4 linked regions of the Struthio camelus genome follow. The protein of the gene in region 1 purifies or fractionates together with the protein of each later gene. This does not show direct contact. Links are inferred from orthologs where the notes say so. Each region holds a gene or a part of one and is shown on either strand. Other genes may lie near its edges.

The links.
Region 2: the proteins of SERBP1 (region 1) and TSR1 purify together in Homo sapiens (affinity purification with mass spectrometry; 3 studies listed by BioGRID and IntAct, with this or other methods). This does not show direct contact. The link is inferred for Struthio camelus from reciprocal best matches to the Homo sapiens genes SERBP1 and TSR1.
Region 3: the proteins of SERBP1 (region 1) and RBM42 purify together in Homo sapiens (affinity purification with mass spectrometry; 3 studies listed by BioGRID and IntAct, with this or other methods). This does not show direct contact. The link is inferred for Struthio camelus from reciprocal best matches to the Homo sapiens genes SERBP1 and RBM42.
Region 4: the proteins of SERBP1 (region 1) and DNM1L purify together in Homo sapiens (affinity purification with mass spectrometry; 3 studies listed by BioGRID and IntAct, with this or other methods). This does not show direct contact. The link is inferred for Struthio camelus from reciprocal best matches to the Homo sapiens genes SERBP1 and DNM1L.

The regions. Positions count from the first base shown.
Region 1 is NC_090949.1:37,015,795-37,022,755, forward strand, and holds the start of SERBP1 (SERPINE1 mRNA-binding protein 1), read right to left. Parts: upstream 3,011-6,961; 5' UTR 2,893-3,010; coding exon 2,484-2,892; intron 1-2,483. UniProt on the Homo sapiens protein: Ribosome-binding protein that promotes ribosome hibernation, a process during which ribosomes are stabilized in an inactive state and preserved from proteasomal degradation.
Region 2 is NC_090957.1:16,394,827-16,402,510, forward strand, and holds the start of TSR1 (pre-rRNA-processing protein TSR1 homolog), read right to left. Parts: upstream 3,002-7,684; 5' UTR 2,959-3,001; coding exon 2,853-2,958; intron 2,781-2,852; coding exon 2,677-2,780; intron 1,980-2,676; coding exon 1,763-1,979; intron 1,684-1,762; coding exon 1,549-1,683; intron 1,170-1,548; coding exon 742-1,169; intron 380-741; coding exon 220-379; intron 1-219. Other genes in the region: POLDIP2 (polymerase delta-interacting protein 2), read right to left, coding at 5,149-5,263, 6,850-6,929, 7,339-7,464, 7,650-7,676. UniProt on the Homo sapiens protein: Required during maturation of the 40S ribosomal subunit in the nucleolus.
Region 3 is NC_090974.1:27,732-35,579, forward strand, and holds the start of RBM42 (RNA-binding protein 42), read right to left. Parts: upstream 3,011-7,848; 5' UTR 2,876-3,010; coding exon 2,856-2,875; intron 1,374-2,855; coding exon 1,241-1,373; intron 1-1,240. Other genes in the region: TYROBP (TYRO protein tyrosine kinase-binding protein), read right to left, coding at 3,297-3,371, 4,103-4,149, 4,471-4,587, 5,442-5,462, 7,142-7,193. UniProt on the Homo sapiens protein: Binds (via the RRM domain) to the 3'-untranslated region (UTR) of CDKN1A mRNA.
Region 4 is NC_090942.1:67,416,883-67,424,720, forward strand, and holds the start of DNM1L (dynamin-1-like protein), read right to left. Parts: upstream 3,008-7,838; 5' UTR 2,879-3,007; coding exon 2,777-2,878; intron 1-2,776. UniProt on the Homo sapiens protein: Functions in mitochondrial and peroxisomal division.

The sequences.
Region 1 (6,961 bases):
GCGACTAAACGAAGCATTAATCCACGCTCCAATCCTCACAATCCAATACGTGCTCACTGACAAAAATTCACCTCGATGTGAATTAGACAGCTAACTCCCTCTCTCTGCCTTTAATTTCACCTCAATTAGGCCGTTTCCCTCTCCTTCTATACCCCTTCCTCCCACTTTTATCAAAAATTTTTAAATAATCACTTCTTACGGCGTTATCTTCTTCACGAAGACATTTGAAGAATCCTGAATGGATAAAAAAACTCTATTTATCTTCCAAAAGACCTGTTTACTGTTCTTTAGAAAGATCTGGATGAACATATCACTCCATCCTTATCCTATTAGCTTTTCACAATGTTTAGAGAAAAAACACCAAGCAAACCACAAAGACTGCCTCAAAAAATGCAAGTTTTCTTTCAAATTAAAAACTCTCAAATTTTAATCTTTTTAAATAAGTTCCTGCCTAACAAGCAATGCCAAATTTAGGGTGGGGCTAAAAAAGTTACAGTTGTAATGACATCCAAGCCAACACACCCAAATGAACAATGTCTTCCTCACCTTGCAAGCTGTATTTAACATTAAGTTTGCACGACATACATATCTTGCTAAGTAATCCTTCCTCACTAAAGAAACACATGAGTTTAAGCTCACTGACTTTGAGAAGAACTCAAACTAAGAAGGATCACTCCATTCTAGAGGTAAAGCCAGGGAGAAAGTGAACTGTCCAAAGTCACACAGGAGGTATGCTACAGAAGTGCAAACGAATAATCCAGCTCTTCTGAACTTCAAGTTCAACACCTTGTGCCCAGAAAATCGTGGTTCCTAGTGCAGCCTACCCAGAAATATAAATTACCTCTTGGTCTTAGTATCACATAGCTTTGAAGGGTAACTCATCAGCCAAATAATCTGCACCTTTACAGACTAAGGCAATAGTGTAAACAGTAATATATTCACTCAGTAAATAAATCCTGTTAATACCATAGCACCAACTACCTTTATAATGTTAAGTAGTATTGTCCCATACAAGCATTGAAATTTTCAAAATTGAAGGCGACTGGTCTCTTACTGAAGTACTCCATACACACGGCTACAAAAGAAGGTTTGGCTTTCTCTGTTTCATTGCTACAATTCACAAAGTTGAGTAGTGTTTGCTCTTGCAAATAAATGTGCAAACTGCTATGTACATACTGATAGCGAGTCTTACCAAAACAACCCTCAGCAATCTGCTGTATTGGCCAAAGACACTGCCCATGTTTCAGGTTTACTTTTTGAGGAATACCACCATAAATCTGTATCCGAATTAAGTACTTCCAAAGGACACTTGTTTAGCAAACCGCCACTCAGGATAAGTTACTGCATTCCTCATATGAAAACCCTCAAGCATCAGACTTGGAAGTACAAAAGATGCATAAGGAAAGGGTACTGTAAAACAGTTCTCGACTTCTGTATATCACAAGGTATTTTTAAGTAATATTTTTGGGGAGGGGGTATCTTCTAAAACAACAAACGTACTGAAAGTTTTCCTTTCTTAAAAAGCATAAAACCCGGTGGAGAATCATTCTGCAACATGTACAGTATTAAAAGCAAAAATATTAACATAGCCTCACGTAGCAATTTGCCCTCTTGTGAACAGAGAGCATTTTCAAAGAGGCCATTTGGAGTTAAGTTTGCAACTGGTAAGTATTTCTTCGCACAAACGTTAACTGCTCTCGGCATACATGCACCTCGAGAGCTCCAAGTTGCTCACAATTCTGGCCAATTAGACGTGCACGTTTCCTTGCGTGCAGTACAACCGCCTGCCACACGACTGAACGTATGTACGAAATCCACCCCTTCTCAGGCAAAATTGTGCCTTTACTCACTTTTCCCAGAACTTATTTAAGCTTATGCCACTCTGATTTTCTCACAAGAGGAAGCCAAAGCTTCCCGTGAAGTCTACTGAGATGCCTTACGGGTTTGCACAAATGTGGCTGAGCACTAATAAAACGTATTACTGCAACGCATACCTTGGTCCTATCAACTGCGCTATGACGCAAAAAAAAAAAAAAAACAACTCAGTGAACGTGGAGGGGGAAAAAAAAAGAAAAGCCGAGTCCAGAGACTGCTGAAGAGGATGCTAAGCATGTCACAGCACCCAAAACAGGAGGGCAGGCTCCCCGGGCTCTGCGGCAGGAGCGATCCTCTCCCGCACGGTCCCGTCTGCGCGCTGCCAACCCTCCCGCCCGCGGCTCCTTTCGGACACCGGGGAAACAAAACGCGCGTTTCGGCCGGAACGGTAAAGCCGCCCACGGCCACGTGCGACGGGCCTCCCCCCCCACCACCACCTACCGCCACGCGTTTCCCCACGTGGGCGCCAGGCCGCCGCGGCGGGGACCGACCGACCGACCGACCGACCGGCCGGGCCTCCCTTCCCGCCGCCTTCCCGCCGCCGCCTTTGTGCGCGGCGGCGGCGCCGCGGCCCCCTCCCGCCCCGCCGCCGCCTCCGCCTCGCTCACCCTCCTTGCGGAGCGGCGCGCCGGGCTGGCCGCTGCCCTCCTCGCGGCGGTCGGGGGCGCCGCCGCCGGCGGCCGAGGCGGCGAAGGGCGGCAGCGGGTTCTTGCGCTCCTTCTGCGACTCCCTGCGCAGCTGCTTGGCCGCGCTGCCCACGCCGCCGCCGCCGCCGGTCCCCGCCGGGCCCGAGCCGCCGCTGCCGGCGCCGCCGGCCGAGCCGGGCTGAGCCCCCGCCGGGCCGCTGCGGGAGCCGCCGCCGCCGCCGCCCCCCTGGCTCCCGCCGCCGCCGCCGCTCTCTTTCCGCCGGCTCTCGGCCGCCCGCAGCACCTCGAAGGGGTCGGACTCGTCATCAAAGAGCTGGTCGAAGCGGTTGGTGACGACGCAGCCGAAACCTTCCTGCAGGTGTCCGGGCATGATGGACCCCCGTCGGCCGGATCCGCCTGCGATGCTGCCCGGGCCCCCCTCAGCCCTGTTCGCCGCCGCACAAGATGGCCGTCCCCCAAAGAGAGCCGCTTCTCTTCCGGCGCCAGGCACATCCGGGCACCTCACCCCGCGCGGGGCACGGCGGGAGCTGCAGGCCTGCCCCGCCCCGGACTACAGCTCCCAGCGTGCCCCGCGCCGCCGTTGTGCGGGCCGGGGGGGGGGGCGGGGGCGGCGCGCCGCCGCCATGGCGCGGCCCGGCGAGGCGGGTGGGGCGGTTTCGCCGATTTAGGCCTTTTTCTTTTTTTTTTTTTTTGAGGCATCTTTTGTGGCCCCAGCGGCGGTTTTTGCTGCAGAAACGCGCAATTTCAGGAGTCTATTAAAGAAAAAAAAAAAAAAAAGCCAGGGCGGGGGGAAATCCACAGGCGTTTTCAAGGAGAGCTCGGCGCTTGGGCGCACCCGAGGTGTTTGCAAGGGGGCGGTCGGCCTGGCCACGGCAAAGTTAATATCTGTTAATTAGCTACGGAGCCGCTCGGGTGGGTCTGCGCCCCCCTAGAGCGAAAGCGCGGTGCAGGCAGGGATGTAGGCTTCGGTTCGCGTGCGGGGCCGCGCGCTCGCGTACGAAGCCCCCGCTCTGTGCTCCGAGCCGCCGCCTTGCCCCGTAAAAATAGGTAAAACGGGGGGAAAAAAAAGAAACCCGTCAAGAGCGTGGAAGCGGTGGGCGGCCGCTCCGGGCTCGCGGGATCCACGACCGCTCCCCTCGCGCCCCGAGGGGGAAGCAGGCTCGTGGTTGCACGTCCGCGGTTCGGAAGGACCGCGGCCGCACGCTGCTCCGTTTGGAGGAAAAACGCGACGGCGACGGCGGCGGCTGGGGACGCCCGCGCGTGGACGCAGTCAAGGCGGCCCTCGCTGCGCAAACGGAGCGCTTCCGCCTTCAGAAACTAGGACGCTTTTCACTGGCCTTAAATCATGTCGTCTACGGGGTGACGCTGAGATGGACACCTGCGGGTGATGGAAGGGCAACGTTTAATAAGAGATTTGTTCTGCAGCCAGTAAAAGTTACTGTTTCAAAAGCTTTAAGAGTTAGCTTGACGCTAGCCGCGTAATCAAAAATGCCTTCTTCCGCTGACCTTCATCTTCATCTAATTAGCAGATACGCACAATTAGAAGACAATACCAAGTGAAGGTGGAAAGTACTTGCAGCGTTAACTGCTCTCCATAGTTCCGTTTATAGTCCGTGGAAGTTATAATTAAAGATTAGAACATATTTAACTGGCACATATCTGACATCCTTCTAAAATACTACTTCCTATGTCCACAGCTTATATCTTTACATGGCTGTCAGAACCTTTTAGTACCTATTAGCATAACTAAACTCATTCTCGACAAGTGACAATTTTTCTAATATTTGCCTTATCTACTCAGACCACTTCAAATAATTGCTTTAAAATTGGTTTAATTACATTTGTTCAGTTCTCTAATGTGCACTGGTTTTAAATGGGGGACTCCGCAAATCAGCTGTTTTTAAAAAATAGGTTCACACTTTAGTTTCTTCTGGATAAGCTGAAAAAGACTGGTTGCATTCACTGTTCCTCATCAGTTTTCCTTGCGTTACCACAGCCACTTCTTTTCTGGAGCAATGATGCTTTTGGGAGGTCTTTGAGGACCCCCCTCCTGGAGTACCACAATGAAAGCTAAGGGATGATTGAAGCACTGGCTCTCTCACACAAGAAGCTCACCCTAGTCTCAGGATATTGTTAAGTAATCACCATAAATTATATCCTCCGGACTCAAAATTTTTTCCTCAACCAAGCCTTTTGCTTTGGGGATGGATCGAATGTCACCAAGTAACACATAATTAAAAATATTTATATTTACGGAGCAGATGTTTTCAGGGAGAGCCTTAGACCCATTTCAGCCTCCTGTCACATTACGCATCGAGGCTGCATCGCTGCATTTTAGGAACAAAATACAAACATTTCTCACTTGAGCCTTGAAGTGCTGCTTGCCAAATGGCATGGGCAGCCCCCTTGGTTATAAGAAACCATGTGTTTACACAAGTAGCTGGGCACCTGCCTGCTGCTGGTACTTGGGATTTTTCACTCAAAGGGAGGTCATAGCATCTCTGTTGTGTTGGTTTTGCAAGGATCGTGCATCTTCCCTTTCCACTGTGCTACGCTGAGTTTCATACCTAGAGAGCTCTGCACCCTGCTTTCGTTTAACTATCTAGTAAAATTCCACTCTAGACAAAACTAGCTAGCATGTATTCACTGTTTCAAAAATTTCAAAGAGCAGATATAGCCTAACTGGTTTAGGATTACACCTTGAGTCAAGCACGCATAAAACAGATTCAAAGTATTTTAATACCAGAAGTAAACTGATTATCACGTGTATACGATCACTGACAGCTATGCTTACTGAGCTCTGCATATCAAGAAACCGCAGACCAAGGACGCAGGATAATCTCCAGCTCTTCTCTGCACCTCTGCCTGCTCTGGCTGCACGCAGCGTGCCCCCGTATTTGGCATTTGCAGTAAAGATGCCCTACAGTTAGCCACACAGGTCACAAGTCCATGTGACAGTATCGTCAGTGGAACACAAGATTTCAGAATTCACAGTTTCCAGGCACTGCTGGCCATAAAATAATACTTCAATTCAAAACATTAAGAAAGGTTCTTAAAATGCCAAAAGGAAAAAAAAAAAAAGGAGCTTGTACACAGAGGGAGAGTCCCAGCGCCACGCCTCCAAACAGCCGTCTTATTCTCAGTCACGCAAAAGAACTGCACTGTCAGGAAGGAAAAGTTACCTAGGTTCAAGTCTTATTTGAAAAGCAAACTCATTAATCAACATGTTCAAGTTGGTAACTGTTGCCTCACCTGACAGGCACAGTAAGCACCGTGTTGCAGAAAGCACAGCCTGCACGTTTACCTGGCAACTCGCTTTTCTGCAGCCCTTTCCCCATTCCTCAGCAGGATGCAATCTGCCGTTGTGCATCGCCCCCCGGGGGAACGGGGCACCTGCCACGTCCACAATGCGACCGTACCTGGTTCGCGTTCTGTCTGTTCGAGGAACTCGGAGCTGGAATACCTATCAAATGCAGTCAATAAGGATTTTGGCAGTTTGCCACGCAAGCAAGCTCTAGTCTATGGGAAAAGTAGAGAGGAAACAAGACTGTGTGCAGCAGAGGGCTGGCTACATCCGTGACAAAACAGACAGACTCTCTCTGAGGAAAAACAGAAGAAAATATTCAAATCAAACGAAAGCTTGCACGAGTAGCAGAACCAAAAAGCTTAGTGTCTTGGAGATGTGTAGCTCCAGGTGAGTTCCCAAAAGGTTCAACAATATCTTGTAGAGTCACCCTCTATATGGGAGCTTTTTCCTTCAGAAGGGGCATCAGCCTAGTCTCTCCCCAGTACCCAGCTGTCTAATTTCACAAGGCTTATGAGAAGATAAGGATTTTCCAGACCCTTGCTGCTCTGTTAAATCTACTCGATAATGGCCAGCACATTCACGAGTGACAGGGAGGGATGGCTGCATCTGGAAGCTTTGCACATGTCTTGCTGCCTTAGGAAACTCAACCGAAACGCATCCTCTAGCTGCAACGCGTTTGTAGATAGAGGCACAGGTAGGAAAAGCCGGGGAAAAAGCGCTCAGTGAAGAAAACATTTTTCAGCTTGGTTTAGGCTGACAAACAAAGTTGACTTCTGCTATCCAGCGCTGCTGGAAACGGGCAGCACCCCGACCACAGCACCAGTACACTGATAGAGCTGTCTGTTGCAGGGGGCCAGGGAAGCCCCCCTACCGTCGGGAGCGCAGGTGTCCTGGCATAGCTGCGCCCACACAAGAGACTTCTCACCTGCACCGCTGCTGCATTGGGGGATCACACCTTTTCTCATCCTGCCCTAGACTAAACAAGGAGCGAGTTCACGCCACAGTCAGCTCGGAGAAAGGCAGGTGACTCGGTCTGGGGCTTTGCTACTTGCCAAATGTCGGCCCTGCAGTAAAACTTCCTGCTGGAGAAACGTTCATGCACGTTTGGTGATACAGAACTGCAGTCAGTCCT
Region 2 (7,684 bases), on another chromosome or scaffold:
CCCAGGAAAGGCAGCAACATGTAACCCTGTTAACCTCGAGGGAAACCATGCGGCCTAGTGGTCAGGTGATGGGAGTAGGAAGGGAAATCATGAGGAAGGCCAGAGCTCCTGATCAGTGCATTTCTTCACAGCCCCCTCAGCCATCCCAGTGACACAGGGATTCTCACAACGCTCTTAACAGGGACACAGAAAAGGTACAGAAACACTGTTACTGCTCACCCTCTGCTTCTTGCAGTTCTTCTTCAGTAGGCCATGTCTGCTCCCCTTCCATAGGATCAGGGACCACTTCTGACTGCAAAGGCTCCTGCTTGGTAGCATCTGCCTTCATCAGGACCTTAACATCCTCCTCCATCTCATCAGCACCATTTACAGAGTCATCCTGAAGGGCAAAAGAACAGAACCCCCAGTTGCAAACACACCTAATTCAAGCTAGGGATCAGTCTGAAGTGAAGGACTAGCTCCTCCCACAACCTTCGCTACCAAAACTATCCCCACCCTGACAAATAAGAAACACAAACTCCCCTCAGCATAACGTCCATTATGTCATAACATCACAATGTTCATTACATGCTGTATCCAAGGAAGTCTCGGCTCACTGGCAGAACACAAGCCCACCTTCCCCCTCAATGCAACCCCCTTTTCCCCCCACCCTTGGCCACATACACCCAATCACACTTTCTTGATGAAAGTTTAGAAACATCGGGTTATAACGGGCAAGGCAAACGCCGACCACCAGCACACCTGTATATCCATGCCCTGACTCCTCTTCTGTCCTTTAACCACTCGGGGGTTCAAAGAAAGGGGGTCTGGGGGGGCATCCACCTGGCTCATCTGGAAGTCTCCATGTCCCACAATATGCACCAGGCTGTTCACACTGAGGGTCTGTCCCCGCACAAAGCCGGACACCTTCAAGGTCCCCACCAAGTCGCTCTCCTGACTGGGCACAAACTCGGCAGCATAGGCAAGCAGGTGAGCCCGTCTGTCCCGAAAAGCAAGATGCCGCTGCTTCTGGGCACCGAGGTGCCGCAGCAGCAGCGAGCACTCCTGCTCTGTGTTCAGGGGGAAGAGCTTGGCCTCTGGAAAGCGTTTCTCAATGGCTTTGGCGAGTTTCTTCTTAGCATCTATCCGTTTCTTTGGTGGCAAGTCGGTGCCCCCCAGGACAGCAAGAGCTACCAAACAGCACACAGAACAGAGCTCATGATCAGAACATAAACCTTCTCATACCACTTTCACCAAGCGTTAACAAGACAAACTCAGATTTCTGCATTCAAACGAACCAAGCAACAGATTCACACCATAAGTTACAAAGGCAGTTTCACCCATTCAAAAGAACACACAATCATCACAGAAACCCATTGTGAGAATGCAGAACACAGCAGCAGGGCAACAGCACTTGGCCAATTGATACTCGCTTAGAAACAGAGTGGTCAGAGACCTGTGATCACCTGCTAACACATGGAATTTTTAATTACTGCAACAGTAGGTCCCCGTCAAGCACTTCCTTAACCCGCACCCCACTAGAAGTCCGCACGTTTCTCATTCACTCACCATAACTGGGGAGCCCCTGTGCAAAGAGGCAGGAGAGACAGTGCTCCCCTGTGCTGTCCCAGCCATCCACAGGATCCAAGAGGAACAGGAGGGAGTCTGCGACTTTCGCTAGGTCTAGGACAGCATGAACATCCCCTGCACGCAGAACATCTCCGTTACCGGGGCTGCTGGGGCTAGGGAGCGGAAACCCACCCCACCAGCAGCGTTTCCTCACCTGGCTGCGCTGCCACGAAGCGCCAGCGCTGCTTGAGCCGGGGACAGAGGAGCGCGAAGCCACCGGGTCTCCCATCATCAATGCGCACAACGGTCGAGTCCTGGCTCTGCAGCAAGTGGAGGGTGTCGTGCGCTGAGGCCCCGCTGTGCAGCGGCACCACGACCACGAGGTGCGGGGGTCCGTCCCTGCTGCCCAGGCTCCGCTTCTCTGCCAACACCTACGGGCACAGGGAGACTGTGAACCGCAGCTCCTACCCTCCTCCCCAGATCATGCCGCAATTTCCCCCACCTCAACTCAAACTAGTTTGGCCTGGTAATGCCACCCCCACCCCCAAATGAGCCAACCCAGGTACCTGCTCCGCTCCTAGGCCCAGTTCCTCATCGCCCAGACAGATCTCAGAAAGCCCAGGCCCTGTTCCACCCCCAATGCTGCTCTGAATCAGTCTAATTCCCGTTTCCCCACCCCCGAGCCAAACCATCCCAGTGCCCGTTCTCCATTCCCCCTCTTCCCTGTGCCCCAACCCACCACCCTCCTGCCCCAAACACCAAACCAGCCTAACTCCCATTCCCCACCTTCCCCCTGCCCCAAACACCCAAATCTGCTCAGGTGCCTTCCCCCTCCCCAAACCAACCCAGGTCCCATTCTGCATCCCCCCGCCCCATACCCGAACCGAACCGACCCGGGGCCCCTTCCCCCCCCCCCAACACCCAAACCGGCTCAGGTACCTTCCCCCTCCCCCGCCCCAAACCAACCCAGGTCCCATTCTCCATGCCTCTCCCCTCCCGCACCCGAACCGGCCCGGAGCCCGTTCCCCCCCCATCTCGTATCCGAACCGTCCCCGGGGCCCCTTTCCCCTCCCCCCAGCACCCGAACCGGCCCCTCCCGAACCCCTCCAAGGCCTCCCAGCCCCTCACCGCCTCCTTGCGCTGCCGGCGGAGCTGCAGCGCCTGGTGCCGCCGATCCACCCTGCCGAGGTCGCGGCGCCGCCGGCGGGGCAGGGCCTTGGCGGCGACTCGGCCTGCGGGGAGAGAGCGGTGAGGGAGGGGGCGACGGCGGCGACGGGGGGGGGCGCGGGCGGGACCCGCCTCACCTGCGGCGCGGCGCTGCGCGGCCCCGCGACGCTTCCCGCCCTTGTGCGCCTTGTTCTGCTGCTTCAGCGGCCCGGGCCGATGCGCGCCCGCCGCCGCCGCCGCCATGCCGCCTCCTCGCCGCCGCGCCCGGCTTCCGGCCACGTCACTTCCGCCCGGCGGAGGAGGCGGCGGCGCGGGGCATGCCGGGAGCGCGCAGCGCCGAGCACAGCCCCGACATGGCGGCTGCGAGAGGAGGGGCGGCGCCGAGGCCTCCCGCCGCCGCCGGCCCAGCGGGGCGCTGGGACACCAGAGCCCGCAGCCGGCGGCCCCTCCGCCTAGCGCTGTCCCCCAGCAGCTTTTCTCTGCCGGTTGCTGGAAGCGTTAGGAACGCCGCACCCCAGAAGGCGGGCGAGCAACGCGGTTGAACGTTTACCGCAGCGTCACCGTTGCTCGTCACGCCGAAGTCAGCGACCCAAGGGAAAGGCAGGGCAGCTGCGCCTCCGTTCCGGAGCGAGCCGCGACGGGGAGGGAAAAGCAGCGCCCGGTATCGTCCTCCCTTATCCCTCCTAGGAAACCAGCTGCCAGCTGAGCTGTTCTTTACACCCATCCTTTCCTGTCCCTGCAGGCAAGCCGACTGCATTAGCCTTTTAACTCTTAAGAGCAATGAAGATAGCATGTCCTACCTGACAGGAGGAAATTAAGGGACTGCTGACAACTAAACACGTCTAAGCAGCAGCAGTTCTCTCTCTCTACATGTGTATCAGTTGGCTGCAAGACAGCGTGCAAATCTCCCATTCTCATCTCTGAAGGCCGTGTTTCCGTCAGCTGAGATGCCCGCAGCACTGCCGTGCGGATCCAAGGGCAAAAAGGCAGCTCAGAGGGGAGGACTCGGGAAGAGGAGACAACTGGGATACTTTCCCATCAGGAATAATAATGATAACAAAAAGTCCCATTAGTTATTTATCCCTTGTCATTTAAGCCAAACCAGGGAGAGAAGCAATATTTGTTTGAAACTTTTTTTGCCCAGCCTTCACATCACAAAGCCATCTACCTCTGCCCCCTGCGAGTCGCCCAGACAATCTGGCCTTGGAAGCCCACAGTCAGCCAAAAGGGTCCCACCACAGAGGTCCACGTCTCTCTGCTAGCCTTCGGGGGATCTCAGCAATCCTCGGAGCAGTGGCAAGCACAGCTCTGGCTTGCAAAATAGTTAATGTGCTCAATTTGCACTGTAGGCTGGGCCTCTCATATCTAAAAGTAAAATTCCCACAAATCTATATATCACAAGCATATGGGAATTTCACTGACCTGTGCCTGCTTGGCTCTGCAGGGTCCTCTGCACAGTATACAAAAGTTAAGACCTGCTGACCTCAGAAAGCAGGAGTAGAAAGCCAAGCACCACCTCATTGTGGCTTCAGCGTTTCAGGTTAAAACAAGCCCTTCCTGTTGAAGCAGAAACTACCAACCAAGGAGATGCTATCACGTCTCATGCAGGGAAGTAACCGCTAGCAGTTAAGATGCACACTTCTCATGCTAGGCAAGTCCTTGCAGCAGGGGAGGGCTTCTGTCCACGTGCCCTGTACTACCACAACGAGCTGGCCTGTGCCCCACGCACAGCGGCCTGCTCGGCACCACCTGCCAAACGGCCTCTCCACCTCTGCACTCCCTTCTCCAACAAAATGAGCTTTGCATCCCTCCAGCATAGTCCAGACGAGCAGTGCCATTCAGAGCTGCGCAGAGGGAGCACGGCTTTCAGGCTGCTCTGCCACACGCTGGCTACATCCCAGAAAGCAGCTGCATTGCAGGAAGGCTGCGCCTCACTAGGAAGCAGAACAGCTCACTCTTCTGCTCCCTACTGCTGAAGCAGTGAAAAGTTTGGGCTGACTCTGCTTTGCACAGAGGTGAGGGGGGAGCAACAGGCTGGGGCAGGCTTGATGCAAAACCCAGGCCTTGGTTTACAAAAGACGACAGGTTGCAACTGGAAGGGCCAGTTTATTAGAGAAACCTCATATTGCAGAGAAGTCACAACACATCGGAAGGGGTCCAGGCCTGCTGAGTGGGCCAATCTTCTGCAGCAGCACAGATCTAACTCCCCAGCTCCAACCTCAGCAGGTGCCACAAAGGGAAGGGTTAACTGTAACAGAGCTTATGTTTACAAGCAGCCTGAGAGAGCCAGTATTAAAGTTCAAAACAACCTCCCCGTTAGACAACGGTTAAAACAAAAATGGTTTAAAATGTTTAAAAGCTCCGTGTTCCTGGCTGCGGTGTGATGGGGAGGCAAAGGTCTACAACACACACAGTTCTCTGTGGATCTCTGCTCTACCAGTGAAGGCCAGAGGGGGGGGTCTTCTCATCTTTGTTGCTTTCCAGAGAAAAGGGTGGGATTCGGACATCAAAGTGGGAGCCATCAGGCCTTTCAAATCGAAAAGTACCCCTGCAAGATAAAGGCAGAGATTACACTGAGGCCAGGGCAAACATCTAGGAATCGTCAGCTAAAAGGTAAGAAATGAACTTCTCCGTTTCCTGCGAAGGGACTCTGGGGCTGCATTTGCAAGGCTGGTTTGGCAGCAAGCACACCTCTCTGCCAAGGTGACTCAATTATTACAATACTCCTGGGCAGTTTACAACACATCTCTCATGTACATTTCCTGAATAGAGATGTCATGTTTGGATCCCCCAGGAGGCATATTGCACCCCGAGCATCTGCAGCAATATTTACCTAAAACTCACCCCAAAGGAGACAGAACCTCTGAGCTATTTTTACAAACTGATTACAAGTAAATTCAGCTTCTTATTTCTTGGCAGAAGCTCCACTGGTTAAGAAGCCTGGGACAATCATGAAATCCCATCACAGACATAACTTGGAGCAGCTTCTGCTTTGAATTTCAGAAAGGGCACTGAAGAACCAAATCTATTCGTCCTTATGCAGAAAAAGCATTTGCCACGTCCCCAGAAGAACTCTCACTGCCATGAAATACAGACCACTGTGAACTGCAGAACGTGACATGGGCAAGAGCACCGTGGAGATACAGTAATAGGTTCTCATAATGCAGAGGACATAAATAAGGACACAATAAGCCAAGCTGAGCACAGCTTCTGAACTTCAGAACTTTTGTCTCCTTCTCTTCAGGATGCATGCAGAGAGCTAAAAACACTAAACAAGCTGTTTTAATTCCCCAGGGCATGCATTCAGGCAATTGTAAATACATAGCATGGCAAACAATGCTAGCAAAGGTATATCTTACAGGCAAAGAGCTGCTCTCACGCATTTCCAAGGCAGCTCAACTTCTAAAATAGATTGACTCAAAAAGCGCAAGCCAGAAAGACCTGTCATACAAAAGGCAAGAGGTGGCTGCGCACTTCTTGTCCCCACAGAGATGACACTCAGTGTGCCAACCCACTTGAAGGGAAGGGAATTTGCTTCAGCCCCAAGGCACAGGAAAAGAACAGCTCAACCTGAGCATTTTCCATCCCACACCAACAGAAGAGGAGACCTTAATGTCAGTCAGACTGAAGGCCTTATCTGACCTAAATTGGGAATAATCCTACAGGCCAACTCCTTGGATACAGAACTGCACAGCTTCACTCAGGGATAGAAAAGCCTTGTGAAAGCGCAGGGAATACTTGTGCACGCATCCCTGCTGTCCTAGGGGAAGACCGCATGAAGACATGCCTCTTGCGCCAAGGACTGAGAGGGACAGAAACCAAGTACATCAGCTGATGATGGAGAACTGCTCCAGCTCTTTTCAAGTCCAGTCTAGCACAGACCAGAGAAAAGTGGATAAATTAGCCTGTAGCCTCTCCCAGTGCAGGGAATCAGCAGATGTTCTTATTACTACCTGGGACTATTGCTATAGAGTAGCTTCATACAAACACTCATTTTAACTATCAAGTATGTCCTGTCCAGTCCACTTCTACCCACCTTTGAGTCTTAATTCCAGACTGCAAACTCTGCACGTCCCAGATCAGCACTGTAGGGTCCTATATCTAAACACTACTGCAGTAATAAATGCTCCTTACCACATGTGACCACTGGATGCCTGCAGGGAGACGTGACTACTGTACTGAAATGCTGGCTGTTCTTTGGATAAAACTGGCTCCTGAGAAGACAAGAAGAGACAACCCTGCATCAGCAGCGGATCTTAAGATTTCTCCATAGCCATCCATCAACAGAAAATGTACACAAAAACAACCACAAAAACAGAGATCCACAGGCTTCAGAATGGTACTTAGCATCACTACAAACTAGATGACAAACAACTCACCCAGTGATTAGCATGAGAATTGCAGTTTTCCCTTTGTCAGTCATTTAGGACCGTTCTCTAATACTCAATGTGAGGTTTCAGCTCACAAGTATCAACAACAGATGAAAAGCTCATGTGATTTTTTTTTTTCATAGCTCATTTTCTATTCCATCTAAAAATGCCCATTAAGAAATTGACTGCTAAATCAGCCCAAGCAAAAGGCTCCATTTCCCAAAAGAAACATATGATATTACACAATACCTACCCTTCCTACAACCCCACGACCTCTGACAGTTTCCAAGGTGCCGGACAAGCTAAATATCCTCCAGTGCCGTTCTCGTAGTTGTACCACTTCGCTGTCAAGGTTCTCCAAGCGAATACAGTAGCGCCACTGGACAGAAGAAAGACTGTTATCAAGAACTGTAATCAACTGCAGATTGCTAATAACCCACAACTGAGACTGGGAAACAGTTGCCAGGCAAGGGCTACCCTCCCTCAGAGCTTATCACACAGCAGCGATGCCACAGCGAATAAACTCCTTCCCTTTAGCTGCTTTGTGAAACAAAACGCACTTACCCAGTAGACGTGGGAATTCTGGGCTTCCTGTCAAA
Region 3 (7,848 bases), on another chromosome or scaffold:
GTGGGGACATGGGGACATCAGTGGGGACATGGAGATGCCACCAAGGACATCAGTGGGGACACGGGGACGGCAGCGGGGTCACGGGGACGGTGGTGGGGACATGGGGACGTCACCAAGGACATCAGTGGGGACATGGGGACGGCAGCGGGGACACAGGGACGGTGGTGGGGACATGGGGACGTCACCAAGGACATCAGTGGGGACACGGGGACGGTGGTGGGGACATGGGGACGTCACCAAGGACATCAGTGGGGACACGGGGACGGTGGTGGGGACACAGGGACGGTGGTGGGGACATGGGGACGTCACCAGGGGCATCAACGGGGACATGGGGACGGCAGCGGGGACACAGGGACGGTGGTGGGGACATGGGGACGTCACCAAGGACATCAGTGGGGACACGGGGACGGCAGTGGGGACACGGGGACGTCACCAAGGACATCAGTGGGGACATGGGGATGTCACCAGGGGCATCAACGAGGACACGGGGACGGCAGCGGGGACATGGAGATGCCACCAAAGACATCAGTGGGGACACGGGGACGGCAGTGGGGACACGGGGACACCAGTGGGGACACAGGGACATCACTGGGGACATGGGGACGTCACCAAGGACATCAACGGGGACGGGGGGACACGTCCCTGGGGGCAGGTGGCACGTCCCCGGGGAGGGTGACACACGCTGAAGACAACATGACACGTCCTGGGCGGTGGGGGGTGACGTGTCCCAAGGGGGTGACACATCCCGGGGGGAAGCGACATGTGCCGAGGGGGAAGTGCCACATCGGGGGGGGGGAGGTGACACAACCCGGGGGGGGTGACACATCCTGGGGGGGGGGATGTGACGTGTCCGTGGGAGGGAGGTGACAAGTCCCCGGGGGGAGGTGACACGTCCCTGGGGGGGTGACAGATCCCGGGGGGAGGTGACACATCCTCGGGGGGGAGGTGACACGTCCCAGGGGGGAGGTGACACGACCCCCGGGGGGAGGTGACATGTCCTTGGGGGGGTGACAGATCCCCGGGGGGGTGACAGATCCCAGGGGGAGGTGACAGATCCCAGGGGGAGGTGCCACGACCCCCGGGGGGGGTGACATGTCCCCCGGGGGGAGGTGCCACATCCTCGGGGGGGAGGTGCCACGTCCCTGGGGGGGTGACAAATCCCCAGGGGAGGTGCCACGTCCCCGGGGGGGTGACAGATCCCCGGGGGGAGGTGCCACGACCCCCGGGGGGGGGTCCTCACCTGCTGGTAGGTGTTGGTGGCGATGATGGGGCGCAGCACGGGGGCCACGGGGGGCACGGCCAGGGCCACGGCCTCCACCACGGGGGGGCCGGCGGGCAGCGGCGTCGGGGCCCCCAGCACCTCCTGCTCGAACCTGGGGGTGGGGGGGGGGGGGTGACGATGATGAGGGGGGGGGGTCGGGGGGGGCGCCCCGCTACCCCCCCGGGACCCTCCTGCCCCCCCCGCCCCCCCTTCATTCATACCCTGCCTCCCCCGTTGCTATGGAGCATCCCCAGTCCCGCCCCCCCGTTGCTATGGAGCCTCCTGGCCCCACCCCCTGTCGCTATGGAACTCCCCCAGCCCCTCCTGAGAGCCTGGGGGGGGGCTCTAGCCCCGCCCCTCCCGTTGCCATGGAGCCTCTAGCCCCGCCCCCGTTGCTATAGAGCCCCCTCTGTTGCTCTGGAGCTCCTCAGCCCCTCTCGGGTGCCTAGGGAGGCCCCCAAGCCCCGCCCCCCGTTGCTATGGAGCCCCAAGCCCCGCCCCTCCGTTGCTACGGAGCCCCAAGCCCCGCCCCCCGTTGCTACGGTTCTCCCCAGCCCCACCCCTCCGTTGCTATGGAGCTCCCCAGCCCCACCCCTCCGTTGCTACGGAGCCCCAAGCCCCGCCCCCCGTTGCTACGACCCCTCAAGCCCCATCCCTCCGTTGCTACGGAACCCCAAGCCCCGCCCCCCGTTGCTACGGTTCTCCCCAGCCCCGCCCCTCCGTTGCTAGGGAGCCCCAAGCCCCGCCCCCCGTTGCTACAACCCCTCAAGCCCCATGCCTCCGTTGCTATGGAGCTCCCCAGCCCCACCCTTCCGTTGCTAGGGAGCCCCAAGCCCCGCCCCCCGTTGCTACGGTTCTCCCCAGCCCCGCCCCCGTTGCTACGGAGCCCCAAGCCCCGCCCCCCGCTGCTACGACCCCTCAAGCCCCATCCCTCTGTTGCTATGGAGCTCCCCAGCCCCGCCCCTCCGTTGCTACGGAGCCCCAAGCTCCGCCCCCCGTTGCTATGGTTCTCCCAAGCCCCACCCCTCCATTGCTAGGGAGCCCCAAGCCCCGCCCCCCATTGCTACGACCCCTCAAGCCCCATCCCTCTGTTGCTATGGAGCTCCCCAGCCCCGCCCCTCCGTTGCTATGGAGCCCCAAGCTCCGCCCCCCGTTGCTATGGTTCTCCCAAGCCCCACCCCTCCATTGCTAGGGAGCCCCAAGCCCCGCCCCCCGTTGCTACGACCCCTCAAGCCCCATCCCTCCGTTGCTATGGAGCTCCCCAGCCCCGCCCCTCCGTTGCTACGGAACCCCAAGCTCCGCCCCCCGTTGCTACGGTTCTCCCCAGCCCCGCCCCTCCGTTGCTAGGGAGCCCCAAGCCCCGCCCCCCGTTGCTACGACCCCTCAAGCCCCATCTCTCCGTTGCTACGGAGCCCCAAGCCCCGCCCCCCGTTGCTACGGTTCTCCCCAGCCCCGCCCCTCCGTTGCTAGGGAGCCCCAAGCCCCGCCCCCCGCTGCTACGGCCCCTCAAGCCGCACCCCCCCCCGCCGTCGCCACGCAGCTCCCCCCCCCGCCCCCGCCCGGTCGCCATGGCGACGCGCGGCCCCGCCCTCACAGCGCCATCTCGGCCTCCATCTCCTTGAGCCGCTCCTCGCCGCTCTTGGCCGCCGCGGGGCCGGGGCCGGGGCCGCCTCCTCCTCCTCCTCCTCCCGCCGCCGCAGCGCCGGCTCCGGCCGGAGCCCCGGGAGGGGGGGCGGCGGCGGCGGCGGGGGGGGCGGCGGCGGCGGCGGCGGGGGGGGCGGGCGCCGCCATGGCGGAGAAGCAGCGCCGCGCGCGCCGGCGGCCGCGGGGGGCGGGGGAAGGGAAGGAAGGGAGGGGGAGGGGCGCTTCCGGCGCGCGCCGCGGCGACGTCACGTCGCGACGCGCGCCGCGGTGACGTCGGCGGCGGCCGCCCCGCCCCTCCCGGAAGTAAAGGGGAAACCCCGCCCCCGGCGGCATAAAGGAGGCGGTAAAGGAAGGAGGAGAGGAGAAGCGCGGGCAGGGGGAAGCGGTCGGTTTATTGGGGGAGGGGGCCCGGACGCCTGGGCCCCTTGAGCTCGCTGTAGATGTCGCGGCGGCCGCCCTGCAGCTCCTGGGGGCAGAGGTCAGCGCCGTTACCCGGGCGACCGGCTCGGGTGCCGTATAAGGGCACGGTCACCCGGGTAACGGGCGGGAGTTGCCATATAAGGGCAAAATTACCATATAAGGGCATGGTTACCCGGGCGACGGGCTGGGGTGCCATATAAGGGCACGGTCACCCGGGTAACGGGCTGCGGTGCCATATAAGGGCATGGTCACCCGGGTAACGGGCTGGAGTTGCCATATAAGGGCACGGTCACCCGGGTAACGGGCTGCGGTGCCATATAAGGGCACGGTCACCCGGGTAACGGGCTCGGGCGCCATATAAGGGCATGGTCACCCGGGTAACGGGCTCGGGTGCCATATAAGGGCACGGTTACCCGGGTAACGGGCTGCGGTGCCATATAAGGGCACGGTCACCCGGGTAACGGGCTGCGGTGCCATATAAGGGCACGGTCACCCGGGTAACGGGCTGCGGTGCCATAGAAGGGCACGGTCACCCGGGTAACGGGCTGCGGTGCCATAGAAGGGCATGGTTACCCGGGTAACGGACTGCAGTACCATATAAGGGCACGGTTACCCGGGTAACAGGTGGGAGTTGCCATATAAGGGCAAAATTACCATATAAGGGCATGGTTACCCAATCCTTATATGGCTAAGATTGCCATATAAGGGCATGGCTACCCAGGATTGCCATATAAGGGCATGGTTGTCTTGGCCCCGCCCCCTAGGTCCCCAGCCCACCTGATAGGTCGACTCCATCTCGGGTGGGCGGGGCTTCTTCACCTCAGCTGAGGGGGGCGGGGTGGAGTCAGGCACCAGTGGCCCCGCCCCCCACCAGCAGCCCCATCCAACCCCACCCCTTCTGGCCCCGCCCCCAGCACTTAGCGCCACCCCCTGGCTGCACTAGCCCTGCCCACCACAAGGCCCCCACCCCATCTGGCCCCACCCTCCCATAGGCCCCACCCCCATGGGGGTCTAAGCCCCACCCACCACCTGACTCCACCCCCAACGCTGCCCCCACCCCAGCGGGCTGTAGACCCCACCCCCACAGCTGGCCCCGCCCCTTCCCTCACCAGCTCCACCCCCACCACTGGCCCCACCCCCCCTACCCCGCTGGTTCCGCCCCGCCAGGCAATAGGCTCCGCCCGCGATGAGCAGCGTCATGATGAGGTCGGCCACAACGAGCGCCGCGATTGGTCCAGGGCCCGGCAGGCAGGAGCTGCAGTCTGGGGGCCCGGACGCCTGGGTCCCTCCTCGGACGCCTGGGCCCCCTCCCGGACACCTGGGCCCCCCCCGGACACCTGGGTCCTTCCCGGACGCCTGGGTCCTTCCCGGACACCTGGGCCCCTCTTGAATGCCTGGGCCCCTCCCTGGATGCCTGGGTCCCTCCCCGGACACCTGGGCCCCTCCCCGGATGCCTGGGCCCCTTCCCTGGACACCTGGGCCCCTCCCTGGACACCTGGGCCCCTCCCCGGACACCTGGGCCCCTCCCTGGACACCTGGGCCCCCCTGGACACCTGGGCCCCTCCCGGATGCCTGGGCCCCTCCCCGGACACCTGGGCCCCTCCCCGGATGCCTGGGCCCCTTCCCTGGACACCTGGGCCTCCTCCCCGGACACCTGGGCCCCTCCCGGACACCTGGGCCCCTCCCGGACACCTGGGCCCTTCCCGGACACCTGGGCCCCCTCAGACACCTGGGACCCTCTCCGGATGCCTGGGGCCCCCCGGACGCCTGGGCCCTTCCCGGACACCTGGGCCCCCCCCCAGACACCTGGGCCCCCCCCCAGACACCTGGGCCCCTCCCGGACACCTGGGCCCCCCGGACACCTGGGCCCCTCCCCGGACACCTGGGCCCCTCCCGGACACCTGGGCCCCTCCCTGGACACCTGGGCCCCTCCCGGACACCTGGGCCCCTCCAGGACACCTGGGCCCTTCCCCGGATGCCTGGGCCCCTCCCCGGACACCTGGGCCCGCCCGGACACCTGGGCCCCTCCCGGATGCCTGGGCCCCTTTGGGCCGTTCCCAGAGGGATTCCCCAAGCCCGGACGCCTGGGCCCCTCGAGGCGGGGGAGGGGTTTCACCTCTCTCTGCGGCAACCAGCCCTGAAAGGTGAAAAAAGGCCCCAGTGAGGGGGGGGGGAGGGGCAGGAGCCCCCGGACGCCTGGGCCCCCAGGATGCGGGCACCCGGACGCCTGGGCCCCTCGTGGGCCCGGCCGAGGAGGAAGCTGAACAGACAGACGGGGGCCCAGGCGTCCGGCCCTCCCCCGCTCCCACAACTTCCCCTTTTGGCTGGTTGAGCCTGGGCCCCCTGGGGGGGGGGCGGACGGGGGTGCCCGGATGCCTGGGTCCCTTGGGGGAGGCGCCCGGACACCTGGGCCCCCAGGGTGGGGGATGGGGATGCCCGGACGCCTGGGCCCCCAGGGTGGGGGCTGAGGGCTCCCTGAATGCCTGGGCCCCCAGGATGGGTCGCCCGGACTCCTGGGCCCCCAGGATGGGGGCACCCTGAACGCCTGGGCCCTCAGGATGGGGATGCCCGGACTCCTGGGCCCCCAGGGTGGGGGCTGGGGGCTCCCTGAACGCCTGGGCCCCCAGGATGGGGGGTCCCCGGACACCTGGGCCCTCAGGATGGGGATGCCCGGACTCCTGGGCCCCCAGGATGGGGGCACCCGGACGCCTGGGCCCTCAGGATGGGGGCTCCCGGATGCCTGGGCCCCCAGGGCAGGAGATGGGGATGCCCGGACACCTGGGCCCCCAGGGTGGGTTCACCCGGACGCCTGGGCCCCCAGGGCAGGGGCCGGGGGCCCCCGGATGCCTGGGCCCCCAGGGCAGGGGATGGGGGCTCCCGAACTCCTGGGCCCCCAGGGTGGGTTCACCCGGACGCCTGGGCCCCCAGGGCAGGGGCCGGGGGCCCCCGGATGCCTGGGCCCCCAGGGCAGGGGATGGGGGCTCCCGAACTCCTGGGCCCCCAGGGTGGGTTCACCCGGACGCCTGGGCCCCTAGGGCAGGGGCCGGGGGCCCCCGGATGCCTGGGCCCCCAGGGTAGGGGATGGGGGCTCCCGGACTCCTGGGCCCCCAGGATGGGGGCACCCGGATGCCTGGGCCCCAAGATGGGGGCTCCCCGGACGACTGGGCCCCCAGGATGGGTCGCCCGGACACCTGGGCCCCCAGGGCGGGGGCTGGGGGCTCCCCGGACTCCTGGGCCCCCAGGATGGGGGCTCCCCGGATGCCTGGGCCCCCAGGATGGGGATGCCCGGACTCCTGGGCCCCCAGGACGGGTCGCCCGGACGCCTGGGCCCCCAGGGCAGGGGCCGGGGGCCCCCGGATGCCTGGGCCCCCAGGGTAGGGGATGGGGGCTCCCAGACTCCTGGGCCCCCAGGATGGGTCGCCCGGACGCCTGGGCCCCCGGGGCGGGGGCTGGGGGCTCCCCGGACTCCTGGGCCCCCAGGATGGGGGCACCTGGACGCCTGGGCCCTCAGGATGGGGATGCCCGGACGCCTGGGCCCCCAGGGCGGGGGCTGGGGGCTCCCCGGACTCCTGGGCCCCCAGGATGGGGGCGCCCGGACGCCTGGGCCCTCAGGATGGGGGCACCCGGACGCCTGGGCCCTCAGGATGGGGATGCCCGGACTCCTGGGCCCCCAGGATGGGGGCACCCGGACGCCTGGGCCCCCAGGATGGGGATGCCCGGACTCCTGGGCCCCCAGGATGGGTCGCCCGGATGCCTGGGCCCCCGGGGCGGGGGCTGGGGGCTCCCCGGATGCCTGGGCCCCCCGGGGGCACTCACCGAGGAGCAGCAGGAGGGCGAGGGCGCGGCGGGGGGTCCCGGCGGGGGTCATGGCCGGCTCCGGGTGCCGCGGGGCGACTGAGGCCGCCGGGGAGCCCAGGGCGTCACCCTGCCCGGGGCGATGCCACGGGACCCAGGCGTCCGGCGGGGGGGGGGGGGCCGGGTTCCACCCTGGACGCCTGGGCCCCTTGGGGGGGGGGCGGGGGGGACAACTTCTGCACAGCGGCCACTGGGGGGGGCTAAAACTGCCCCCGGGGGGGGGTAATAACTGCCTGGGGGGGTAATAACTGCCCCTGGGGGGTTAAATCTGCCCCTGGGGGGGTAATAACTGCCATCAGGGGGGGCAAAACTGCCCCCAGGGGGGGTTAAATCTGCCCCGGGGGGGTAATAACTGCCATCGGGGGGGCAAAACCGCCCCAGGGGGGAGCAAAGCTGCCCTGGGTGGGTAATAACTGCCTCTGGGGGGGTAATAACTGCCATGGGGGGGAGAAACTGCCCCTGGGGGGGTTAAATCTGCCCCTGGGGGGGTAATAACTGCCATCGGGGGGGCAAAACTGCCCTGGAGGGAGCAAAGCTGCCCTGGGCGGGTAATAACTGCCCCTGGGGGGGTAATAACTGCCCCAAAGATGGCAAAACTGCCCCTGGGGGGGTAAAATCTGCCCCCGGGGGGGCAAAACTGCCCCAGGGGGTTAAATCTGCCCCTGGGG
Region 4 (7,838 bases), on another chromosome or scaffold:
AAATAGTTGTAAAAAGGGAACTGAAACACAGATTCAGGAAAAGATAAATAAAAAGAAAACCCACTGTAGAATGACAGAAAAACCCTAAAATAGCAACACAGAGTTAGCATTCCAAGGGCATTCTCCGAGTTCCCGCAGTAGGAAATGGAGTCTTCGGTTTTCTTAATACACTCTAGGAGGATACAGAAATAACCTACACAGTATTTAAGTAGAAAATGAGAAGCAATTCTCATATGACAAAGTCACAAGAATGAGACTAGAAAAAGAGCAAGAGGCCATCTAAATGTTTAAAATCTACTAAGAAGTATTTTGTAATTAGTATCAAAATCCATCTACAAAAATCAAAAAATTAGGACACCTCAGTTGCTCAGAGTTTTCAAGGAAGATAGGAAATGAGTTTCCAAACAAGAGAGAGGGGGAAAGAGGCACATGGAGAAACAGAAAACATCCAAAGATAACTTAAAGATTTTAAGTACTTGCTAACTCTACATACTCTAAAAAAGAAGAAATCAATTTGGCATATAGAAGTAGAAATAAATGAGAACTGAAGAAAGACATAAGTACAAAACAAATAGTAAAAGGGTACAGAACAGATACAGAAGGTAAATGAAAACAAATGAATAGTGAAACTGTTAAAAAAGGTTTTTTTTTCTCCATGCTAAATATAAAAAAAGGCCATTTTAGAAAAGCAACAGACAAAATAGACAAAAAAAATTAATGGAGGGTTACAGAAATGTTAATAACATTTGTTTTTCCACATAGTAAAATGAAGGTGCGAAATTCAGAAAGTTGTTAATATTATACAAAAAAGAAAAAACAAGAGACTGCAAAAGCCAGTGGGCTACAAAGAAATTAATCATCTGAACAAATTTAGCGGTCACATATCACTTAACCAAAAATACCTCAAGAAACCGACCAAAGGATATTGGTTTTTTTTTTAAATGTGTCTTCTCAAACAAACAAACAAATCACGGAAGCAAAGCACCAGTAGTAATAGGATCGGCTATAGGGCCATATTTGAGGCAAATCCAGAAATCTAGTAGCCAATAAGCTAACTTCAAATGAATAAAATAAAGTGTTTTTTAAAATGAATGAATTGGGTAAAATAACTATCTAAAGAATTAGCATTTCAGTGAGAACAATTATTTCTTCCAATAACTCTGACTAAAAATAGTGTTTTGCAAACAAAAAAAAAAATCACGGACCAAGGGCTTTATATATGTCTGTGAAATTATAATACAATTATATAATGTAATTATAATTTCACAGACATTTTGCTGTATTTTTTCTGGAGTCTATAAAGCTCTTGGCCTTGGTGTGCTAAGAGGCATCACACTATTTTACCTTATTCTATGTCTTTTCATGAGTTTACCAAATTTGAAATTGAATGGATGTTACTACCCAAGGGTAGACTGTTCAAGTCAAATGCATGTCAGTATAATCGTAACACGCATCACCTACTCTATGTATTTATGAGCAGTTAACTAGGATCAAGTTGCTATAAAGCAACAATAATCCAAAAAATAAAGTGTCACTTCAATGTGTTTCATAAAGTGAAACAGAAAATAATACTTCCATTAACATTACACAGAAAAATGCCATATCTCTGCCTTGCACCTATTTCTGCTATAGAAATTAAAAAAAAATACAGCCTGCTTGCATGATTTTTAGTGTAAGAGATTAAATGTCTTCAGAAGGTGATGGACTCCTTTTAGCTACAAAAACAGCAAGAACCTAACATAACCTGTGAATGCAAAGTCTCTCCCACACAATGCAAGTATTTCAGATCTATTTTATAAAGTAATTGATATAAAGTCCATGAATCTACCTGATTTATATCAGTAAAAGAGACTGACAGCTGGTTGCCTTACAACCATTTCAAGAGTGTAATTAGCTATGGGCAAACCTAGTCCGTGCTTCAGCACTGTGTAAGCCTTAAACACGCAGCATCTGTTTTAAGCCACATAATGACATCTCAAACTGACCGCAGAACAGTTGATACTGCTGTCTCTTATGTAGCCAGGCTATTGTCAAGTAACATCAAATATTCATAAGCACGGTTAATTTCACAGAAACAAAGAGACCCATTAACTCCAAGTTAAAAATGAAAAAGCACTCCCCTCCCAGGCAGTTCTAGCTGTGCTAAAATGCTTCATTTTCAGCCTACAACTCCGACAGCTCTGGCTGGGCACATTTCGTCGCGGAGAGTTCTGTCGAGCAACTACAGCGCGCTTGCGTCCCTCCGAAAGGCTCCGAAACAATTTATAACCCTCCAGCGCTACCAGGCTGGGATGCGCACGCCGCAACTGTTCCAGGTTTGCTCTGTGCCGCTTCCTCCTTTCGCTCCAAACCGCTGCCCGAGCCAAACAGGTCCCAACAGCGCAAGGAACTGTCAAGCGACCTCGCGGGAGGGGGTTAAAAAAAAAAAAAGGGTGCACGCCGGCGAGAGGCGGCTTCTCCAGCGCGCTGCTGCGCCCCTCGCACTCGCCACCGGCCACAGCCGCCGGCGGCGCGGGGGAGGCGGGGAGCGGGCGGGCGGCGGAAGGGGAAGAGGCGCCGCGGCCGCAGGCGGCGGGGAGGCGGCCCGCCCCGCCGCGTCCCCCCGTGCCCTTGATAGAGGCAGCACCGGAGCCGCCCGAGCCGAGGCGCGGGGGAGGGTGCCTCGACTTTGCCCCCAGCGGCCGGGCTGCCGCCTCCCGCCGCTCGGCACCGACGGCCGCTCCCGCCGCCGCTGCCACCGCCCCGCCCGGGCCGGGCCGGGCCGCCCCCGCCTCACCTGCGTGCCCACCACGACGATCTGCGGCAGCTGGATGATGTCGGCCCCCACCGTGTTGAACACGTCCTGCAGCTTGTTAATCACGGGGATCAGCGCCTCCATAGCGGCGCGGAACCCGGCCGCGGGCCGCAGGTGCCGGCAATGAATGGGCGCGACGGGCAACGGCTCCCGTCAGCCGCCCCCACCGCCTGCCGCCATTGGCGCCGGCCCCCGCGCACGGCCCCGGCCCCCAGCAGGCTGTGCGCGCCCGCGGGGCGGGGCGGGGCGCCGCCGCCGCGCGGCACCACGGGAGCTGTAGTGCCGTTGGGCGGCTGGCAACGGCTCGTCGCGGGCCGTAAACGGACGCGTGGACTCGGGAAACGGCAGCGGGCGCGGCCCCCTCCCAGCTAGGGAAGGCAGGGTTACTGCTTTCCTGCAGTCAGGGGCGCCTCAGAGGCGACGCGGGCCCCCTGCGCCAGGGGTTGGCAGGCCGGAGCCACGGCCCGTGGCTGGTGCTGGCGGCCCTCTGGAGCCGGCAGGGCCGAGAGGCCGCTTTCCTTCGAGGCGCGGGTAGCAGCGAGCGGCTTGAAACCCCTCAGGAAGCAGCACTGCCCCAGCGCCAGGGGAAACAACCCAGAGGTGGCAACACGCCCGCCCGCTGCCCGGTAACTGCCTCGCCGCCACTTGGCCCGGCAAGGGTGCTAGACGGCAAATTGTTAACTTGTCAACAGGCTGGTCCCACCAAGCCGACAGGATGGGAAGATAAAACTGCTTGGAGGGAAAAAAAAGGGAGGAAAGCATCATGGGGGTTCATTAAGGGAGAGAAAAGAGCCAGAGAAGATCCAGTCATACAAAATATGCAGCAAAAAGAACATTCTCCCATACTGGTACACATACAAACAGACAGTTACAGTTGACAGGGCAGCAGGAGCCTAGATTTAAAACCGCTGGGTAAAACTGGGGGTAAGAAAAGCAGACACAGCCTTTGCCTTTTATATTTTCTAAAAAGTTTTAGCAGTTGCTGTGGCCCCTCCTCAAGTATTTTCGTGTTTCGCCTCAGTCATTTACATGCACCCCAAGAAGCCTTCTCCCTGCCAGCAGCATTTTAAAAACCTCTCCGTGTAGATGACACAGCTACATACATGCTCAGCTATGTACAGAAAAGAGTCCATTTGCAATTATCTGCAAACATAGATCTCTCTCTGACTACTTAGATGCACTGACCCATCTTACTCAATATTCTGGCCTGGGAGGATGTTCAAAATGTCTCCAGATAAGAATCAGATACTGAAACAGAAGTAAAGCATCCTATCTCTTTCAAGATCTTTCTTACTGAGTAATCATCATTCCATTATATTTATTCTATTTGCTTTCTTGTTGATGGCTTTGCTTTAGGTGCCAGTCTTTTACCTGACCTCTTCATCTGAAATTTTCCGGCTCAGATGCATAATAGTAGGGTTGGATGAGGTGTCTGGTGAGGCTTGGGAAGCGGAAAACTGTGGAAGATCTAGTATTCAGCTGTATCTTAGAAAAAGATAGACTAAAGCCTGAGAATGACTTGTGATAAAAGATAACAAAAAAGCTATCTGATCTTTAAATATCTTTCCCTTGAATGCATTTTCTCAAAGATAAATTATGAATATGTAATAGTTCTGAACTGAATTCTGGCATTGTCCCTTCCTGAATGCAACTGCTTCTGAAACTTTAAAGTTCTGGTTGACATAAGACTTTGTATTCTTATTCAGTCCAAATTAGTCAAGTCTTTTCTGCTCTTCATTTCTTGAAATTATCGAATGATGAAAGGGAGAATACACAAGGGCAATATGTTCTTGCCTACATATCTTTTCAACACAGCTTCTCATTCTTACCCAGTAAATTTCACACGGCTTCTTAGAGAACTGATATTTTATTGACAAAAGCAAAAAGATAGTTAAGCGAACTGAAACGGTCAGAAATGATTGTTTGCAGCATAGAGAGAAACAACTGGTTAACACTTGGAAAAATAAATGAAGAAGTGCCTAAATAACTTGTTGATGAGGAAGAAAGCAGGAGGACTTCTTATCATAGTGATACAATGACCTGCCATGATTTTCCAATGGTTTCACCCATTGGTTTTCAAGTGTGCTGAAACTGGCGGGTCTAAGAGACATTAAGATCATTAATACCAGGATGCCATTCAGGATCTGCCTCTCCTGCTGCCAGAACAATAGTGCATATTTCCTGTGTTGCATACACTGACACAGCCATAACACTTTCTAAAGGGTTTGCAGTTCCCTGACGAGGTCTATCACGGAACCTCATCTTATCTCCTTCCTCGAGCTCCTAGAAGGAGAAGGAAAAAAAAAGGAAAAAAAGAAGGAGACACATCCTTGTTGCATCGGAATGGAAACTGTTGGCATCTAAAGTGGGTAGAGGAGAAACTTATTTCTCTATGCCACTGTCTTTTCTCCTACTGCTTTCGTTTTCCGTGTAACCTAGTGGACAGCACTGTGAAATGGGTCAGCAAGTACAGTCTGTTTCACATATTAATTTAAACTAAAAGTGGTACATCTCAGAAAGGATATACAACTGAAAAGGTTCAGAGGAGGACAGCCAGAATGATGAAAGGTGTGAAACTGCATTGATAATGAGGAGCAACTAAGCAAGCTAGGAGTTGCCACTCTACAAAAGAAAGAAGGGAGGAGGAAGGATTTGAGGTCTGTATAATCTAGTGGCCTGGAGTGGTAGGAAGACGATCAATTTGTTTATTCTCCCTTTCAATACAAGAATTATTGGAGCATCTAATGAAGCAAGAAGAAGCCAGCTCAGAACAGAGCAAAGATAGTAGACCCTCATGGGTGGGTTGATGACCTATTGAAGTCCTTGCCAAAGGACGCTGTGGACAGTAAAATTTTACATGAATTGAGATGGAGACCGAACAAGTTTAATGAAGAGAAATGCATTGCGTGTAAATAAATACCTAGGTAGAATTTGCATCTAGCTCTGGAAATTTCTGAGCTGCAATGTTTGGAGGCTGAGAGAGCATCAAGCAGAAATACTGTGTACGCCTGCCCTTTAGTCTATCCCAGTATGGCCATTCTTGGAATTTGATCTGTATAACATTTCAAGAAACATACATGGAAAACATCAGTTGCTGAACTGAGTTGAGCAGAGATGTCAAAAAGACTATCAAGAAAAGGCAACCCAGTGTGAATTAAGGAAGAGAAGGAAAATGTGAGGAAAGGACTAAAGAAAATACAAGACTAGGAAACATCAGGATGCAAAGTTTAACATTGTACATTTCTGGCTAAAAAGTGGAAGCTGGAAATACCTTTGCTATGAAGCATCATATCCTTTATCAGCTTATGAAATGAAGCAATTATCTTATCCCAGTTAGAGTTCTGTGCCAAAGTAATAATCGTTTTAACAAGCAAGGATCATATGTGGCTTTATCTGTCTGCTTTCTATCTCAGACTCATACTGTACTGAGCAAGAAACTCGATGTGATAAAATAGTAGTAGTCAGGCTGGTTATTTACTAAAAGCAATTGACAACAGCAAGAAAACAGCAACTGCCACACTGAATCTGACCTGGTATCCATCTGTCTCAGAATCTCACCTCTAAAGATGTCCAGCACCAATGCTCCAGGGAAAATACAAAAATGCAATAATAAGATCTTATGATCCCAATACTATGTAGTAAGTAATTTTGATATTGCCAAAAGCTCTGAAGTAGACAATTCAATATTCCTTCCGTTTTATCAACATTACTTGAAACTAGATTGCTTTAGACACCTTATAATAGTTTTTGATCCATCAAGCTAAATTCTTGGCTGTAACGACTTCCTGTGCTAACAGGTTTCATGATCTAATTACACACAGTTCAAACAAGTTAGTGTCAGTTTTGAATTTGTCATCTTTTAATTTCATTATAACCTCTCCTTTGAAGGAAAACAAGTCTGAAGTCAGGAGAACAAAATTTCCAGTCTTTCTTCTCCATGGTATGAACTTACGTAGTTTTATGTCATCCTGATATTCCATTTACTTAGACAGCTGGAATCTCTTATATTGATGCACCGATCACAGTAGGAAAGTCACTTGCAGTGTAATGAATTCATGCTAGACAATGAGACCACAAGCCACGACCTCAGTAGGGAAATTTCTGTGCTGTCGTCATATTTGTCTAAAGAAAGAAAGATTTGACCGACACACTTCAATTTATCCAGTACGTAACATACTTAACATTTGCACTGCATACAAATCCTACATATTGCACAAACAGTACTGGCAAAATACTTCTCACCTTTTGGAACCATGTAACACAGACATTATATGGGTCTGGCAGAGCCTGATTTTTATGTGAGGCCAAACTGAATGGTGTTTTTGTATCCTCTAGAGCAACATCATCACAGATGTAACTACGACACTCTCTCATAGCACATCCATCAGACATCTGTAAACATCGTTAGAAGCTGAGATAAATACATGCCTCAAATCCCGTAACAGAATGACCGTTAGTTTGGATGTTCTACATAGATTATCCAAGCTGCCAGATTTTAAATGTTGGTCTTATTCCAGAAGAGACAGAAATCGGAGGTTTCAAACCCATACTCTGGGGGGCCTGAGTGACCTCTGCTACATGTATCAGCTGGCTGTTAAGAAGGTCACAGTGCTAATAGTAATCCTGGGTTATGCGTTACCTGTACTGAGACGCAATCTCTGGCAAAACAAATTCGTGCTGGGGCAGGGATTCAACTTTGCTAGACTAATTGTAGTACTAAACTACTATCCCAGTGGATACTACTTCCCAGTATCCACTGGGAAGTTAGGCAACTAAATTCATTGAGTATTTGGGATGTCAGACAGCCTCTCCTAAAGCACGTATGCAGAACTGAGGGCAGATTTCAGGATAATGCAGGGGCAGGGCATAGACGGTAACAGCTGCAGGGCAAACAGAGCGTTCCGCGTTCATCAATCAGTAACACGGCCGGAGCCTTCTGGAAGGCTTTTGTAAGACATCAGCAATTCTGATAAGGCCAAGAGGTAAAAGTTTTCCTTGGAAATGAAAATAATCTCTGTATCAGCCTGTACTGCTGTGCAACAAT